Linked DNA regions of Drosophila melanogaster. The protein of the gene in region 1 interacts with the protein of each later gene in a pairwise test. Each region holds a gene or a part of one and is shown on either strand. Other genes may lie near its edges.

Region 1 (10,412 bases):
TATATGTATAGTATATATACAAAAGTCTATATATATTATATCTGTGATCCATAAGCGGTCTTGTACATACATATATTTTATTTCGCCCGCAAAGCTCGCTGTTTGTTTACCCGTTTGTTTGGCCAGAGGACTTCCGGTGCAAAACGACTCAGCACTACAACTCTTCAAACTCAAATTAATCGCCAGAAAAATGGTAGGTTTGACCATCGCTCAGATATTTCAACTAAGAAAACATTCTGGCATTCGAATATTTTTACATTCTGCAACAAATTAGCATAGCTTCATGGGTTTTGAAGAATCGTGTGTGTGTGTGTGTGTGTGCGAAAAGATTATGTTTTAATATTTAAAAAAAAAACCAACTATTCAATTTACAAAACTATCTCAAAGACCTACGACTTAAGACTTAATACGCCAATTAAATTGTGAAATACAAGGTGGTCGTGTAAAGCTATCGTTCTCCACTACATATGGCCTTTAAAGTGATAAAGCTTTGTGATAAAAGAACTGCCCCTGGATGTCGTCGATATCCGTATCTCTCTTATCGAAATTTATGGACCGTAAAATGACGAGAAGATGTTGAATTTGGATAGAATTTAACCACGATCATGGTGACGAACGGCTGGATGGATATACGTATATATATCTTACGCTCTGCACTACAGTGAACCCAACCCAAGTGGGAAACATGCCATCCAAATGTCGCTCCAAATGTATCCCGGGCACGGTGCCGATTAGTCAGCTGATGTGCTCGCCACCTAGATATACGTACTCATAATCTTATCAGTTTTTTGGCAGTCTACATATAGGCGGTTAGATATGGGTGGGTCTCGCTGCTCCGGAAAGCTTCAATACTGGCTGCTCCAAGAAGAGAATGTACACTGGGTGAGGATATGGGAGGGACTATGGACCCGGTGCTCTTGCACGGATCTCAGTTAATCAGTTGAGCAAGTACGTCTTGGCAGACGGTGGCTCTCATGAGCACGTGCACGTTGTTCGCTGTTAACTGAAAGCAAAAGACTCGAATGCATTGCACTCCCTAAACATCTATCATCTGATAGCCAATAATAGCGTGTTGCGTACCATTATAACAATAACAACGCACCGAGTGCAACAATCATGTTAACTCGATGGAACACTACTTTCAAACACCTCGGAGAGGATTGGTCTATCCTGAACGAGAGTGTGCGAGCTTCGGCAATTGGAAATTGATCGGAAATAACTTACTCATCGGAATCTAGCGAAGAGATTACCTGGCTAGTCGGCTATTGGTTTCAAAAAAAAAAACAAAAAAAAAAAAGTAAAGACGAAAAAAAAAAAACTGTTATTACCGATAAGCAATACGACGAATTCGTGGTAACGAAGTATTTTAGAGAGATACCAAAATCGGTCAGTTTTAGTCAGTTATGCTATTGTTTCGCGTCGGTGCCACATTGTCCCCAATACCTCTCAACAATTGTTAATGAACCTCGTGAGGATTGAAGCCCCAGCGCAGTGGATAAAGTCAAGGGATCATCATGGGCAAGTTCTTCGAGAGATTGTTTCAGAAAAGGGTGAGTCCACAGCTCGATGTTGTGTAATATCAACAGCAAAAAAAAAACAGTGAACATAAGGTTTTCTTCAGTACATGTACATACGTGTGTGAGTGTGTCTCCAAATCCATCAGTGAATTTCTATATATTAGATAAGCCTCAGCTATAAAGCAACGTCGTTTGTCGATATGCGAGTGTGAAAAATAGATAGCGTCGCTTAGATAAAGTGGATTGCAACTTTATAATCTTGGATCTCCATCGCACGATTCTTTTGGCTGGCTTGGAAATCCCGAGTTTTTCCAATTGGTTTTTAATCTCCACCAATGGTTGGGTTTTTCAAAATATTTGGGTTTTTTTTTTGGTTTTCTTTTCCTAAGTTGACTGATCGACATTTACATGTGACAACGTGTGAGTCAGTCTTTATTTAGCGCTGTTATAATATTTAAACAATTTATGGTAAAGCTAATGTTTTTCAAATGCAAATCTCTGAAAAGTGCCCAAGAGAGTTTTCATGAACAGTTTGGCTATGTTTAATAGAAAACTGCTATTATTAAGCATAAGCATATGTGAACGTGAAATGTTTATAAATTAAAATTGGCGTCGTTTTAAAATAGAATTAAAGATTCATTGTGGCTCCGAGAAATTGATCAGTACTAAAGTACTTCATTTACTAATTTTGTAATCTATTAGCATGGAACTTTTAAATAGAATTCTTTTCTTTTTTTTTTGCTTTAAAGATAAACAATTGCTTTCAAAACTGAACTTCCTTTTGCAAAAAAACATATGTTGAGTGAAAGCTTTTTAATGAGAAAGTCAGTGCAAGTTCTTAAGCAATTGAATTTTATGAGATTTGATTTGAGTGGGGGACGTCATCGAATTGACAATACGCCAAATTAACTATGCACTTTGAACCTATTAGTTGCCGAATGTCTGAATTTCTTCATGTGTCGCCGCGGTGTACATCGCAAACTTGAACTGGCGACGTCAATAAGTTTTTGAGCTTTTTATTGGATGCCCGAAGCTGAATGTGAAGCTGCGGCCGTACGACCGATTTTTGAAGCTGTGAATGGGAATGGGAATGGGTATGGATACGGGTATGGGTACGGGCATGGGTACGGGCATGGGTATAGGTATGGCATCCGAATTGCCATAGAAATGCAGATCGAATTCTCAGTGTGAGAACGGCTTTGCACTGGCGCACATCACGCGGCTCTCTCGCGATCCATTAGATATTAGGCTACGCATAGATGTATCCCGGAAGGATATTATTGAATGATGTGATATAGACTAGATATTGCGGTGTGTGAAATACATTTGGATATTATCTACATATGTAAATTCATATGCAAATACGCACTGATATATAGTACAAATCTATAAAAAAAATCGTTGTGCCTATGTGGATTCCAATGTGCACCATAGAACTGTTCAATTGAAGTGTTAAAATTGCCCACTTAACATCGTTTTAAGGTTATACACTTAAGTGTGCTGAGAAAAAGTCGATAAATATACAAATGGTTGTATGTGCATTAGGGTGGACCGTATTCGAGTGCTTAAAATTATTGGCCACGCTGTAATAGTGATTAAACTCCATTAGCACATCGTTTCAAACATTCGTTTAATAGTTAGATAGCTGGACTATCAAAAAACATTCATAAAAACGTACTTTACAAAGGTCCGGTCCATTGTGCATACAAGACCTATGTACATATGTATGTATGTATGTATGTATGTGCGACCATTCGGTCGATGAATAAACAATAATTAACAATAGCCAAATAACGAGTGACCGCATAAACACAAGCAGGTGTTTGAAAATGTGATTGCCCCACAACACGAGAATTGTCGTACATAAAAATAAAAAAAATAAAAAGAAAAGGAAAACTGTTTTCCATTGTCCGGAAAAATCAACTACCGGCTTGAGTCTGAGGATAAAGCTTTCTGAGCGATGATCGGGCGCGTCCGTGGTCACACCGCTACCAAATGCGCCAATTCTGGAATGATGAACAATGAATTTCTTTGGCCATGACCATCTGAGCGGATTTCGACGCATAGATCGCCTGGGAGCCCATCGCCAGACACCGTGGGCAGATCAGGAGTCCTTTCATCTGAAAGACGCATTTTTATGGAATTGGCATAAGGTGTGTGTTGGGCTTGGGATTTTGGTAAACGATTTTTAGTACACAGGTAGTGCCTATTTTTCACTATTTGAAGAAAGTCAGCAGTTAGAATTCTTTGGTATAAGATTACATCTGGCTTATGTGGCGTATGCGTGATATTTGTTTAGGTTGCAAAGCGATTGCGCAAGCTACTTACCAACCACCAAGTTTAATACATATTTATGCTGTTATTTTTTCACTTTTGTTGGTGAAGTTTATCTCTGAAAAATTGAATATTAGGTGAATCTTTTCAAACTACACTTTAATAGAAAATTTGCTTAGTTATGCGCTTTTCTATCGATCATTTTAGCTATTACTTGCCATATAAACAACTTGATGGACATTCTTCTGCCGAAAAAAAGTTAATTAATCTTAATAGTAAACATTTGGCGGACTTTAAAAAACAATGCCAATAGACAGTGACCAAAAAAGGACGCTGATTCATAAGCCAAACAAAAAAATACGCTGATAATTCGAGTTCTTATCACTAGATGTCTACCATTTGTTGTTCAATCAACGTATTCCGATGGCCTTGTCATTTATTTTATCTTCCAGGGCTCCAGAGTTAGTACAATAAATGATTGGCTGCAAATACAAATCGGTGGCCCCCAGGATATCAAAAAGAAAAGACCAAAGGGCCAGAATCGCATCAAGTCCACCAAATATACACTTATCACATTCCTGCCACAAAATCTTCTGGAGCAATTTCGCCGGATTGCGAATTTCTACTTCCTGGTGATGACAATTATATCACTTTTAATTGGTAAATATGGAAATATAACAACATTTTCATAATAATATATAATTCTTAATAAATATTTATTTATCTTTAATCTATTCGCAGATAGTCCAGTGTCCCCGATGACCTCACTTTTACCACTGGTATTTGTAATTGCTGTGACCGCCGCTAAGCAAGGATATGAAGATATCCTGCGGTATAGAACCGATAATGTGGTCAACTCCTCGCCAGGTGGGTGAAAGAAAGTAAACTTTCGAAAGTGAATTCTTCATTGGGAAATTTGAAAAGTTTTCTTGCCACAAATTCAATTCAATTTATATCAATTAATGAATATTTATTTTACAACTTTAGTTACTGTCATCCGCGATGGCAAGGAGGCGATAATTAAGTCGCAGGACGTGATTCCCGGCGAACTGATCGTCGTGGAGCGGGACTGCGATGTGCCGTGCGATCTGGTGCTGCTGCGATCCACCGATCCGCACGGCAAGTGTTTCATCACCACGGCGAACTTGGACGGAGAGTCCAACCTGAAGACGCTGATGGTGCCGCGCGACCTGCCCACCGTCGACCTGCCGGAGATGCACAAACTGGGCATTATCGAGTGCGAGAGCCCCACCACCGATCTGTACAGCTTCAATGGCAAGATCGAGCTGAAGGGCGGCGAGGGTCGGGTGCTTCCGCTGTCCACCGAGAATGTCCTGCTGCGCGGATCGCGGGTGAAGAACACGGAATGCGTCATCGGTTGCGCCGTCTACACGGGCATGATCTCCAAGCTGCAGCTGAACAGCCGGCTCACCAGGAACAAAAACGCCTCCAGCGAGACGTACATCAATCGCTTTTTGATTGTCATCCTGGTCGCCCTGATCGCCATCGTCACTCTGCTCTACTTCCTGAAGAGGTAAGTTCATCTTGGACTACATACATATATATTCTTCAATTGGGTTAATATACAACCTACTCGTATTTGATCCGCAGGTACAATGAACTATTTGTGATACCCAAGCTGACCTATCTGGGGGATGCGACGGATAGCTACAGTGTGAAGCAATTCCTGCAGGACTACCTGTCGTTCCTGATCCTCTTCAACTACCTAATACCCATCTCCCTCTACGTGACCATCGAGCTGCAGCGCGTCATCGGCAGTTGGTTCATGGAGTGGGACCTTGAGCTTTACGAGAATGAGACCGATCAGCCGTGCGTGGTCAACACATCCAATCTGAACGAAGAACTGGGCCAGATCAATATACTGTTCTCGGATAAGACGGGCACGCTGACCAAGAACGAGATGAACTTCCAGCAGTGCTCGATAAATGGTAACAAGTTCCTCTTTAAAAAGACGCGGCTGGAGGATGAGGAGACCAAGGCACTACTGGACATCAATAAGTTTTCCGTGAGTCTTTTCCATCGCTATAGCTTAAGTGGCGTTCCCAAATCTGTCTGTCGTTTGTCCTTGCAGGCCAATCAGCGCGTCTTCTTCCAGGCCTTGTCCATATGCCACACCGTTCAGGTGGCCTCCGGATCTCTGGAACAGGCGGATGCGGGCACTGCCAAACGGGAGCCAGTGACGGCGATTAAGTCGGGTCCGCCGGAGATGTACTCCATTTCGGACATCACCGAGGAGAGCCACAATGCTAGTCAGCAGAGCGAGCTAAATGTGGGCCACACCATTGATAACTCGGTGTCGGCTCATCCCAATGGGGTCAACTCAACGATCATTTCGTCCGATGTTAATCCCTTATTGGTTTCCGACGACGGCTATGGCGTGGAGCGTCGCAAGCGTCCGGTGGTTATCAAGAGGAGTCCCAACTTTGCGCGCTCCAATCGGATGAACAATGGTGCCGCCAGCGATCTGAATATCAATCAGACTGACCCTAATACGGTCACGAACGGAGTGGAGCCCACAACAAACTTTCGACCCATTTCGCTGCAATTCAGACGGTCTACCTCAGAGAAGGATCTGCAACAGTCCTGGGAAGCGCCCAGTGGTCAGGCGCCGGGTCACCGAAGGGCGCACTCATATGGCGCGCCCAATGCCTACCTCACAAATCCGGTTACGGCCAGCACCCCGCCCGCAGGTGTGCTCTTTCGATCGCCGAGCACCACTTCTCGGGAATCCTATGCCGCGCCCACCTTCACCCGACAGCCCACCATTCTGGTGCGGGCTGAATCACAGCGCCGAAAGAACGAAATCCGGGACTTTATATTGTAAGCGGATTCAAGAAAATCCAAAATTTGAAGAAGCATCTCAATTTCACATCTCTTTCAACAGCACCTTGGACTATCAGGCCTCCAGTCCGGATGAGAAGGCATTGGTGGAGGCGTGCGCCAATTTGGGCATGGTCTACACCGGAGACGATGACGAAACGCTGCGCGTGCGCATCGTCCCGCCCCACATGGACTACAAGCGACCGTTCGCCAAGCCCAGGGAAGAGACCTTCCAGCGCCTCCATGTCCTGGAGTTTACGTCGGATCGCAAGCGCATGAGCGTGATTGTCCGGGATACGGATGGCAAGAAGTGGATCTACACAAAGGGTGCCGAGAGCTATGTCTTTCCACTGTGCGCCAACAGTTCAGCCGAGCTGGTCACAAAGACGGACGCTCATATAAGTGATTTCGCACGACTAGGATTACGTACATTGGCTATTGCCAGGAGGCTAATTAGCGAGGAGGAGTACCAGGACTTCCTTGTGGAGCTGGCACAGGCGAACAGCTCACTTGAGAATCGAAAGCAGCTCAGCGAGGAGTGTTATGCTAAAATTGAAAGCAGTGAGTACTAGTGACATTCCACATAAGTCCATGGTGCCCCACGTTGGGCGCCAACAACTTATGCATTTCTGTTCTTTGCACAGATCTTGATTTGCTCGGTGCAACAGCTGTGGAGGATGCCCTGCAGGACGACGTGGCCGATACGTTGGTATCTCTGCAGGCGGCTGGCATTAAAATCTGGGTGCTAACGGGCGATAAGGTGGAGACAGCCCTGAATATAGCCCTGTCCTGCGGACACATTCCACCCGATGCCAAGAAGTACTTCATTATGGAGTGCAAGAATAGAGAGGAGATGCTCCTGCATCTGAACGCACTTGATCGTGAGATCATCTTCGGTATTGGCCAGGAGTGCGCTCTTCTCATTGACGGCAAGAGCTTGGGCGTGGCCCTGGCAGAGGCCAGCTCGGAGTTCCGGGATGTGGCTGTCAAGTGTACGGCCGTTCTGTGCTGCCGCCTTAGTCCGCTGCAGAAAAGCGAAGTGGTGTCATTGATCAAGTCATCCAATGAGAACTACAACACGGCCTCCATTGGCGATGGCGCCAATGATGTGTCGATGATCCAGGAGGCTCACGTGGGCATCGGCATCATGGGACGCGAGGGCAGGCAGGCGGCACGATGCGCCGATTTTGCCTTCGCCAAGTTTTGCATGCTCAAGAGATTGCTTCTCGTCCATGGACACTATCACAGTGTCCGACTGTCCCTGCTGGTGCTGTACTTCTTCTACAAGAACATCGTCTTTATGGGCATCATGTTCCTGTTCCAGTTTCACACGCTGTTCTCCTCATCCTCCGTCTACGATTCGCTATTCCTTACCTTGTACAATGTGATATACACCTCGCTGCCCATTTTGTTCATAGCTATCTCCGAGAAGCCATACACCGAGGAGAAGTTGATGAGGTAACAGTGGGTTCAATCGTTTATATGTATAATGTTGATGTTACTAAAAATGCAACTTGAACAGAACGCCACAGCTTTACAAGAAGAACACGGACAACAAGCAGCTCCACTGGCCGTACTTCCTGATGTGGGTCCTATTTGCGATCTACCACAGTGTCATCATATTCTACTTCGCCTTCTGCTTCTTCTACTACAACAACGTTCTCCTGAACTACGGACAGACGGTGGCCTTCTCCTGCTTCGGCACCCTCCTCATGTGGACGGTGGTGGTGGTCGTGAACCTTAAGCTCTGGCTCGAGTCAATGTATCTGTCCTTTTGGTATATATTCACCATTATCATTTCCATTTTGGGCTTTGTAGTCACAACGGTTATCTACAACGTTATCAATCTGTGAGTTCATGGCTACGAATGTATCCATTTAAGGTTTAAACTAATATGTATATGTATTATTTGCAGGGACTACGACACCGACATCTACTGGGCCTACAACAATCTGTTGGCCTCACTGCCAGTCTGGCTGTGGATCATAGTGACCTGTGTGGCCTGCCTGGTACCCGACTATACCATCCGAATGCTCCAGAGGGCGCTCAACATAAAGAGTTTCAGCATTTTTCCCGGAAAACAACGGAAACTTAAGATGCGCGAGAAGTTTGAGTCCACATACTTGTAATCGTCGATTAGGCTATAGTTTTTATACCCCTAATTTATTTATTTCCTCATGTATACAATTTTTTTTTTTTTTGTTAGATAAACAAATTTTTGTTAAACGTTTGAACAATAGATTTGATTTCTGACCACCACCTTAGAGGTAGGAAAGTATCTCAACTTCCCAAATGGAGAACCTTGAAATCGTATGCTAACACTCGCAATCAACTGGGAAGTACGACATTTTAGGCTGATAACATTTTTATCATAATCTCGGCGACTTATTGAGAGCAAGTGCAACTACACTTGGAAAAATGGTTCGTTTACGAAAATGCTGGGTTTCAATACAGCTACACGATACAAACATCTAATTAATAAAGGATTTATTTAATATTTTTCCTACATCGGATATTGTTTAAAAATATATACGAAAGTATATAGCCCGTTTTTATCACAGTTTAGCCGTTGCCCCACTTTTGATACCATAAAGTAGGGCGGCGAGTCAGTAAATGTACTTCAATCCCGATCCACATATGTGTACGTAGGGCACCTGTTGGTTCGGCCATACCCACTGCCACGCCCACGATCACTGCCGCCCACCACATTGTTATCTAGTTGATGGCGTCGTTACCATTTGCATTGCCGAGGCAATGGACAAAGTTTTGATTGTGAAGCCCGTTTTTCATTGATAATGTTATCTCCACTCGCATTCCGAATATGTTTGTACAAGGGGAGCTAGAGATATGAACATTTTGCAGGTACATATGTGGCCATATAGTCGCTGGAAGATCTGGTGACGGTTACGATTTTAGTGGATTCTCGGTGGCTGTGTTTTCCTGGTCGTAGTTCGCCAAGTTAGTGGTCAATACGATTCGTTGGTTGCTCTCGCATTTCGAAATAGTGGTAATCGCACCAAATGGCAGTGCTATCAGTTCGAGGTTGTCGTATAGATTCCCATGGACGCCCTAATGCTAACACATGTGCAAAGCTATATCTAAACCATGTCTGTGTGCGCCGCGTATGACTATGCCCAAGGAAATTCTTAATCATTTTTGGCTGAGTTTAGTGTGCATAGGGCGGTGCTCGCAGCGCCAGAGAATTTGCTGATCCAAAGTTTCAATCGAATTTGCTTTCCTTTAATCAATATAATGTCACTGACCAAGTCGTCGTCGAGAAAGGATCTAACCGAGCAGAATCAGTATCAGAATCAGAATGAGAATCAGAATCAGCCCAAATCGACGACCATAGTCAAGTATGAGAAGTCGTCGTGCCTCTTCTGCAACGAATGGTTCGATGCCCAGACATTCACGGTTATAATCGTCCAACTTTTCAGTTCACCTTTGATTACTATTACATTACTCCTCTTTGGATGCGACTGCAGGAACACCTGATCCACTGCGGCCAGGTGCTGGAGGAGTGTCCCAACGGCTGTCAGGCCTTCATTCCACGCATCCGTATGCGATCCCATCTGAAGGAGTGTCCACGCAACCAGCACAATCTGAGCAATCAGCAACGCATGAGTGTCAGCATGGATCGCCTGGATAGGCAGTCGGATCAGCGTCTCCTGGTCATTGAACAGGACGTGGGCACCATTCGGTCCGTTCTCAACGAGGAGATACGACAGCGTTTGCATCTCATTACCGATGTGGGCAACATACGGAAGCAGAACCAGGTCG
Region 2 (6,419 bases), on another chromosome or scaffold:
GAGTTGAGTTGATTTAATTCAATTCATGGACAGACAATGATTGCGTCAATTGCCGCATGTTTATCATTGTGACAGCCCAAACTTGGCATTGTCCTGGCCAAAATCTTGGCACACAAACCCGACCGCAATCCCAATAGGAATAGGATGGCGGCCAAGAAGCCGCGGCGGAAATTGTGGAAATCGTATGTAAGCGTATTAGTTTGGCGATTGTGCGAGTGTCATGCTGGCAAACCCTTTCTCTGCCATTGAAATATTCCCAAATGCTGTTGCTTTAGCCAAAAAAAAAAAAACATATAATATGGGGGTCATTATGATCATGCATATGGTTGCAAATTGGGTCTCATTTTCATGGCAGATCGGAAAAATGTAGATAAGGACACAACGCGGGTCAAGGATGTGTGTTTTCTAAACGAATTATGGAGATTGAAGTTTTCAATTACAAAGTAAAATAAGTGCACTGAACTTCAAATATGGAGTATATAATTTAATATTTCGTCAAGTTTTAGGCTTGTCTTCAATCACAAGACTGATTTCTTGCGTTTAACATAAGCAACATAACCGTAGTTTTGTTTCATTTGTAATATAATTATTTTACCTCTTTATAAAGGTTCGTACATTTTAGGTTATTATTTTCTAAATGACATCAAGATACCTGAGAATTTCACACACTTCCTGTCTTGGTTGACCATTTGGCCAATTAGGGGTATCCTTTTAAGTCGGTAAGAGGTATATGGTACACCACCCAGGGGTGCGATTCAGAGCAGGTTTTCAATTACACATTATGACTGCTGCACGGTCTGGCTGGAAACTGCAGTAAAATTTCAACTACCCCGAAAACTCGCACACATTCCGAAGAAATTGGATTTGCGACTGGTTGCCTTTCTTTCTTCTTGGGCATTTTCCGCTTGCATTTGGCTCGTTTTTTATGGCCTGCCCCCTCCCCAATCGTCTCCCATTCGAAGTTCCCGGCCCGTTGACTTTTATGAACTTATAAACAAGGGAAACGGGGCACAACCCTTTCGGCCTGTTGCTGCCACAGCTACTTCCAGTGCTTATTATGTGGATTATTAGAGGGATTTACCCGATGCCATGTACAAATTCATGTGCTCCAACTCGGATTTCGGATTCCGGCTGCTGGCTGTCGGATGCCGGGTTGCTTCCTCTGCTACCTCACTTGGTCCTGGTGGCATCAATGACATAAATAAAAAGATTTCCAAAGGATTTGCCTGCGGGACACCGCACCCAAACACCCGAAAAGAAAAGCGAAGGGAAAACACCCCGACATTCCAGCCAAGTTTTCCCAGTCCAATGAAAATCATGAAGGTGTGTGGGTGTGATTTACTCGCATGCCAAGAGCTAAGAGCTCTGCCAAGTCGGTGTTGATCTGGGCATTGCCATAAATTGATAATAGAAATATATACCTATTGTACATATACATATATATGGACATACTGGTTGAAATTTGACTCAACTGGCCACTGATAAGCCACTTTGTTGCCCGGCGTAAACAATGACGTGTGCTGGACTTTCACTTCCAGTGGCCTGTTTGGCTAGCAGTTGTTGAATCACGGATTTGCCTGCATACCCTGTAATTTAGGTTAGGTTATCTAATATTGCTCATGAAGCAATTTATACTCTTACCATTTTAAATTAAATTAATATTTTCCAATTTTTGTTGAATTGAATACTTATAGTAGTCTCCAAAATTCTACCTATATATTTACGAATGAATAATACATTTTATAGTTTTGAATATCAGCGTATAGTCTAATATTCCTATGTCACTTTCTTACAGGGTAGCGAAACTAATAGAATTACTTATCAGCCAGAGATGTTCACGTTTAACAGATTAGTAAACTTCTCGAGTGACTTCTTCTTCCTCTTCAAAATGCCTTAAATCACACGTTTAACCCAATTAAATAATGTCAATTAGCATTGAAGCGTGTCAAAGGATTAGAAACCATTAAAATAGTATTTATTCAAAATGTCAATAAATGGTTTAATTTCTCGAGCACAATAAATTCGAAAGTAATCTAATGATTCTACTCTGTCTATTGCTACCACATTGCGATGTCAATCAAAGCATTTTGGCATTGATAGATGGCTAATTAATGTAGCCATAACATAACATGTGCTTGCTGCTCCTGCTATCTAAGGAGCATCAGGTGGCTTTGGCATTCCGCAGGACCCTCAGGCGCGAGTACACAATGTCCCAGTCAACGAAGGCGCCCAGAATGTGGCGCACATTGCGGTCCGTGTCGTCGTACCCGGTACGTCCGTGGACCAGGCGCAAATTGTCGAACGTGAGCACGTCGCCGGGCGTGGTCTTGAATCTGCAGGAGTGCTCGTGGGCCAGGCCCACAAAGGTGGCCATCGCCTCGTACCACGGACGCACCTGCTCCACCGGCACGCTAAAGTGGCTGTCGCGCTGCGGAATGCTGTGGTTGATGCGCACACACCGGCCCTCCGCGTCCAAGCTGCAAGAGATCGAAATGTTAGCCAAGTTCTGCTGGGGCAACTATGCATTTCCCCTCGTCAACAAATTGTTACCTCCACCTAAAAATATCTGAAATATTTTTCAAGATAACTGAAACATTTCAAGTTGCGAGAAAAATAGATTTTAAAAGTGCAGAATTTGCTTGAAAAATATGAACTCAAAATAAGCATTTTTATAGTCTGACTGCACCTAAATGTATTCTTAAGTCGCCCTAAGCAATCAAAGGAACTCCATCAATATAAATCTCCTTTACTGGACTCCCAATCTAAATCTACTCACTTGATGACCGGTGCCCTCCAGATATTGTGAAACTGCAGATCGCCGTCGCTTCCGATGTCCGCCCAGTCCACGGGAGTCTGGCAAAGAACCCGGAACTGCTCCGGATAGCGTTCCCTCATCACCTCCGCCACATAGAAGGCATCGGCCAGCAGATTGACACCCCCGGGCGACGCGGACTGCTCCAAGGTGTGCAACATGGTCACTCCGGGCAGGTACTCAAAGTAGGGCATATCCGTGTGTAGCGGGAGTGGTGCGGCCAAGTAGGCGTAGTTGCTGCCTCCAGGCTGAGCCCGAACACTGAACTCCTCTCCATAGGTGGTGCGCCTCATGAAGCCCACTCGGTTGGACAATCTCCGAAGGACGTCCATATCGAGAGGGGCTTCCTTGACCATGGCCACTCCGTAAACTGCCAGATGCTGGAGCCATTGCTGCAACGCCGAATCGCAATCGAGCAGTTCTTGGTAGTAGAACACCTGACGGATTTTCTCAAAGTCCAGACCGCTCCACAACTTCTGCTCCGGGCGGTAAAAGTCACGCAGGTAACGCTGGCGATTCGCGTATGAGAAGTCCCGCTCCCTCAGCCAACTGAACGGATACTGGGAGGTATGTCCATCGGACCACTCTATACACAGGACCCTCTGGTCCACGTCCACGCTCTGCCGCAGGACCCGCACACTGGTGTCCAGATGGTTCCACAGCTGGGGCAATCTACTCAGTGTCTGTGGCAGATAGCACTCCTCGCAGCGGCAATTATCGCGCAGCCAAATGTCTGGAAACTGCATGTCCCGACGATCAGGATCGGGAACCTGAACCAGGCGCGACTGATCCTGCTCCTTTGGCAGAGCCAACTTAAGCGGTTGGCTGGGCAAATCTCGGCGGTCCGCTTGGAACATCTTGAGCAACCTACCACTATGTCTTCCGATTGCGGAATGATGTGCCTGATTAGGGCGGTGAGCAAGAAGCCCACGCTCAGGGGTACGTGGCCAAATTGATGGACCAGATTAAATAACGCGTGATGTTTACATAGCTACACTTAAAAAAAGGAAGTACGTACTATATTTTTCTAAGTTTTTAAGCTGTTTGCTTATATTTGCTGTTTGATATTTAAGAATTAGCTGAGAAATGACAAGAAGCCTTGCGTAATATGTTCGAATATCATATTATCACCTGATCCAATTTATTATACTATTATATATGTTATCCCTTAGATGATATACTTTAGATATATTGTATGTAGACATACTGTTTAGAATATATTTTCCTAAATACATACTAATTTATGTGAATACTTTGATATTTGTAACTTATTGCATAAATATAGATATCTAGAAACTCGCTTTTTTTTTCTTTAAGTGTTCGACCATCCAAGTCTAACCCTTATCAATCCTTTGTGAGCAGTGCAGATTGCTGTCGCAGCGTTTTTTTTTTTCTTGTTTTTAGCTGGGCTCCCCTTGCTTAAAGCCCCCGCCCGCCACTGGAGCTGTAAAATTAAAAATGCAAAATTAATTTCTGCATAAAACTGCTAACGCCAGCGATTTTGCATAATTGTTTGCCAGCTGCAGTCGAGCTGGAAAGGGGCGTGGCTGTGGAAAAGCGCGCCATCTTCGACAGCCCTTTCATGGCGCCTCCCCCCATGCCACGGCGACGCCCCTGGTCGCGGGAAGTGGCGTCAATCATTGTTAGGCGCATTGATCACTTCATTCACATGCTCACATGCCACACCCACATCGATTGTTTCACTCAAACCAGTGGTGATTGCAATGCGAACATCCTGCTCGACAGCGTTGGAAAATCATAAACAATAACCATTTCATGCCGGGGAAAACAACAACGAGCAGAGAATCGGCCGGCAACAAGCATATCTGGTAACCAGTATATATGGCGCGATTTTTAATTATCACTTTCGCATTCGCATTCGCATTCGCATTTTGTATTCGAGTGTATTGTCTGGCGCGAATACGACTCGTATCTATCCATCTACGGCGGCTCTATAACCGCCATTTCCACCATTTCCACTTCCATTTGCATTTCTCCCCGAAACAAAGAATGCGAGTGGAACAATCCATCGAATGCTCAGCTTTTAGCTGAGATTCTTCTCAGCGAGTAAATGTATCTTAAATGTAAGATATAAGGTATCGCAGATACATTGCCAACAAGTTATGAGAAGATATAGCTTGAATAAAGGTAGAACGTTTCAATGGATTGGTTTTAATGTATATTTTTAAGAAAGTATTGTAAAAAATTATATATCTTGTTGTGATAACTTTATTATATTAGTACTAGGCCTACAGCAGATTCTAAGAAACTTGAAGAGCATTAGAAATGCGGTATGCAGCACGATGCAGCGTCTACATTTCATGCATTGTTTGGAAGGAGTCCCAGTTTCCCCCAGCAGAACTTTATTGTTTTCAATTAAAAACACTCACAGCCCATTCAGCTAACGAATCCATTCGCTCGGCAGTTTTCATTGCGAGTATTCCCGTATTCATAGGCTCGAAGGCAGCGGCAGCGAAAGCCGGCGACATGACACAATTGCAGATGCAAGTGAAATGTAATGAGGTGTAATGAAAATGCATTCAAGTGACAGTTTTTCCCCATTCGCCGCGCAGCTCCATTTCGCCAGCCCACCTGCACTTAACAATAATCAGGCACAACAATAGTGACAAATATCGATGAAATGAGCGATGAGACAGAGTAATGAATTTCTCGGAGAAAAAAAAAAGGTAGATTCACTCAAAGTGTTTATTTTGAAAAGCAGCGATCCGAATAAGTCTGTTTTTATTTGTTATTTTTTAATAACATTTCAAAACAGGCAAATCCGTGTTATCGGTTTACTTCGCAACCGATCAAAACATACCGCAAATTATGCATAAACATCGAGTACAACACTTACGAAAATTAAACAAAACCCGCAGCGACCGCAACATATCCAGCGAAACATGGCCGAAAACCGAAATTGGTTTATTTATTTCGCTGGCCATCAAATTGCAAATAAATCAGTTCCAAGGCTTAAATGCCTGAAATATTCATAAAGCCAGAAAAAGCGGATGTGAACAGGTGAGTGAACCCCGTGGCTGATGATGAGTCGTGGTGGTGTGGATTCGAGTTAACAATACGCCCGTCTAACGGTTTGGCACAATGGCCAACGCTATGGGCCTAATTAGCCTCGTGGGCGGCGAGGATTTTGGATTTCGGATTTTCGGCTATCCATGACAATGCCAGCGGAACGCATAATTAGGCATAAAGCCCAGGTCCGACTCTACTCTTGAGAATGGGCCCCAAATTGGACTTGGCCGTATTGTGTTTCCATCCGGCTGAAGAAATCCTTAGCCCTCGGAAAAAATCACTATGCTTGCTGGCAAAGTGCAGTAAGTAGCTGCGGCCACTGTGGGACACATAAATAAATGTGCCCACGAAATCCGTAAATATGATTAAGTGCCAAATTTATTTACAGCTCCCTGGTTGCCTTTAAAAAAAAGGCAGCCAAAACGAAATAGCAACAAAAAATGAAAATGCCCAACCCCGTGGGCTGGCAGACGCAAGGTGGAGCCGCAAGCCGGAGTCACCGCCTTCCGGAAGTGGTTGGGCTGTGGCAGGTGGTGCCACCTGGCCAACCCGATTACAATTACGTGCGCTAATTGCA

Evidence for each region.
Region 2: the proteins of CG4301 (region 1) and CG10814 interact in a two-hybrid assay, tested with the Drosophila melanogaster proteins (one large-scale study listed by BioGRID).

Annotation. Positions count from the first base shown.
Region 1 is NC_004354.4:16,405,540-16,415,951, forward strand, and holds CG4301 (uncharacterized protein), read left to right. Parts: upstream 1-2,769; 5' UTR 2,770-3,538; coding exon 3,539-3,670; intron 3,671-4,243; coding exon 4,244-4,451; intron 4,452-4,532; coding exon 4,533-4,658; intron 4,659-4,778; coding exon 4,779-5,325; intron 5,326-5,402; coding exon 5,403-5,817; coding exon of another isoform or gene 5,818-5,883; coding exon 5,884-6,632; intron 6,633-6,696; coding exon 6,697-7,193; intron 7,194-7,276; coding exon 7,277-8,090; intron 8,091-8,154; coding exon 8,155-8,481; intron 8,482-8,547; coding exon 8,548-8,761; 3' UTR 8,762-8,864; downstream 8,865-10,412. Other genes in the region: Traf-like (TNF-receptor-associated factor-like), read left to right, coding at 9,885-10,046, 10,118-10,412.
Region 2 is NT_033778.4:13,374,020-13,380,438, forward strand, and holds CG10814 (uncharacterized protein), read right to left. Parts: upstream 3,713-6,419; 5' UTR 3,670-3,712; coding exon 2,777-3,669; intron 2,478-2,776; coding exon 2,162-2,477; 3' UTR 1,956-2,161; downstream 1-1,955.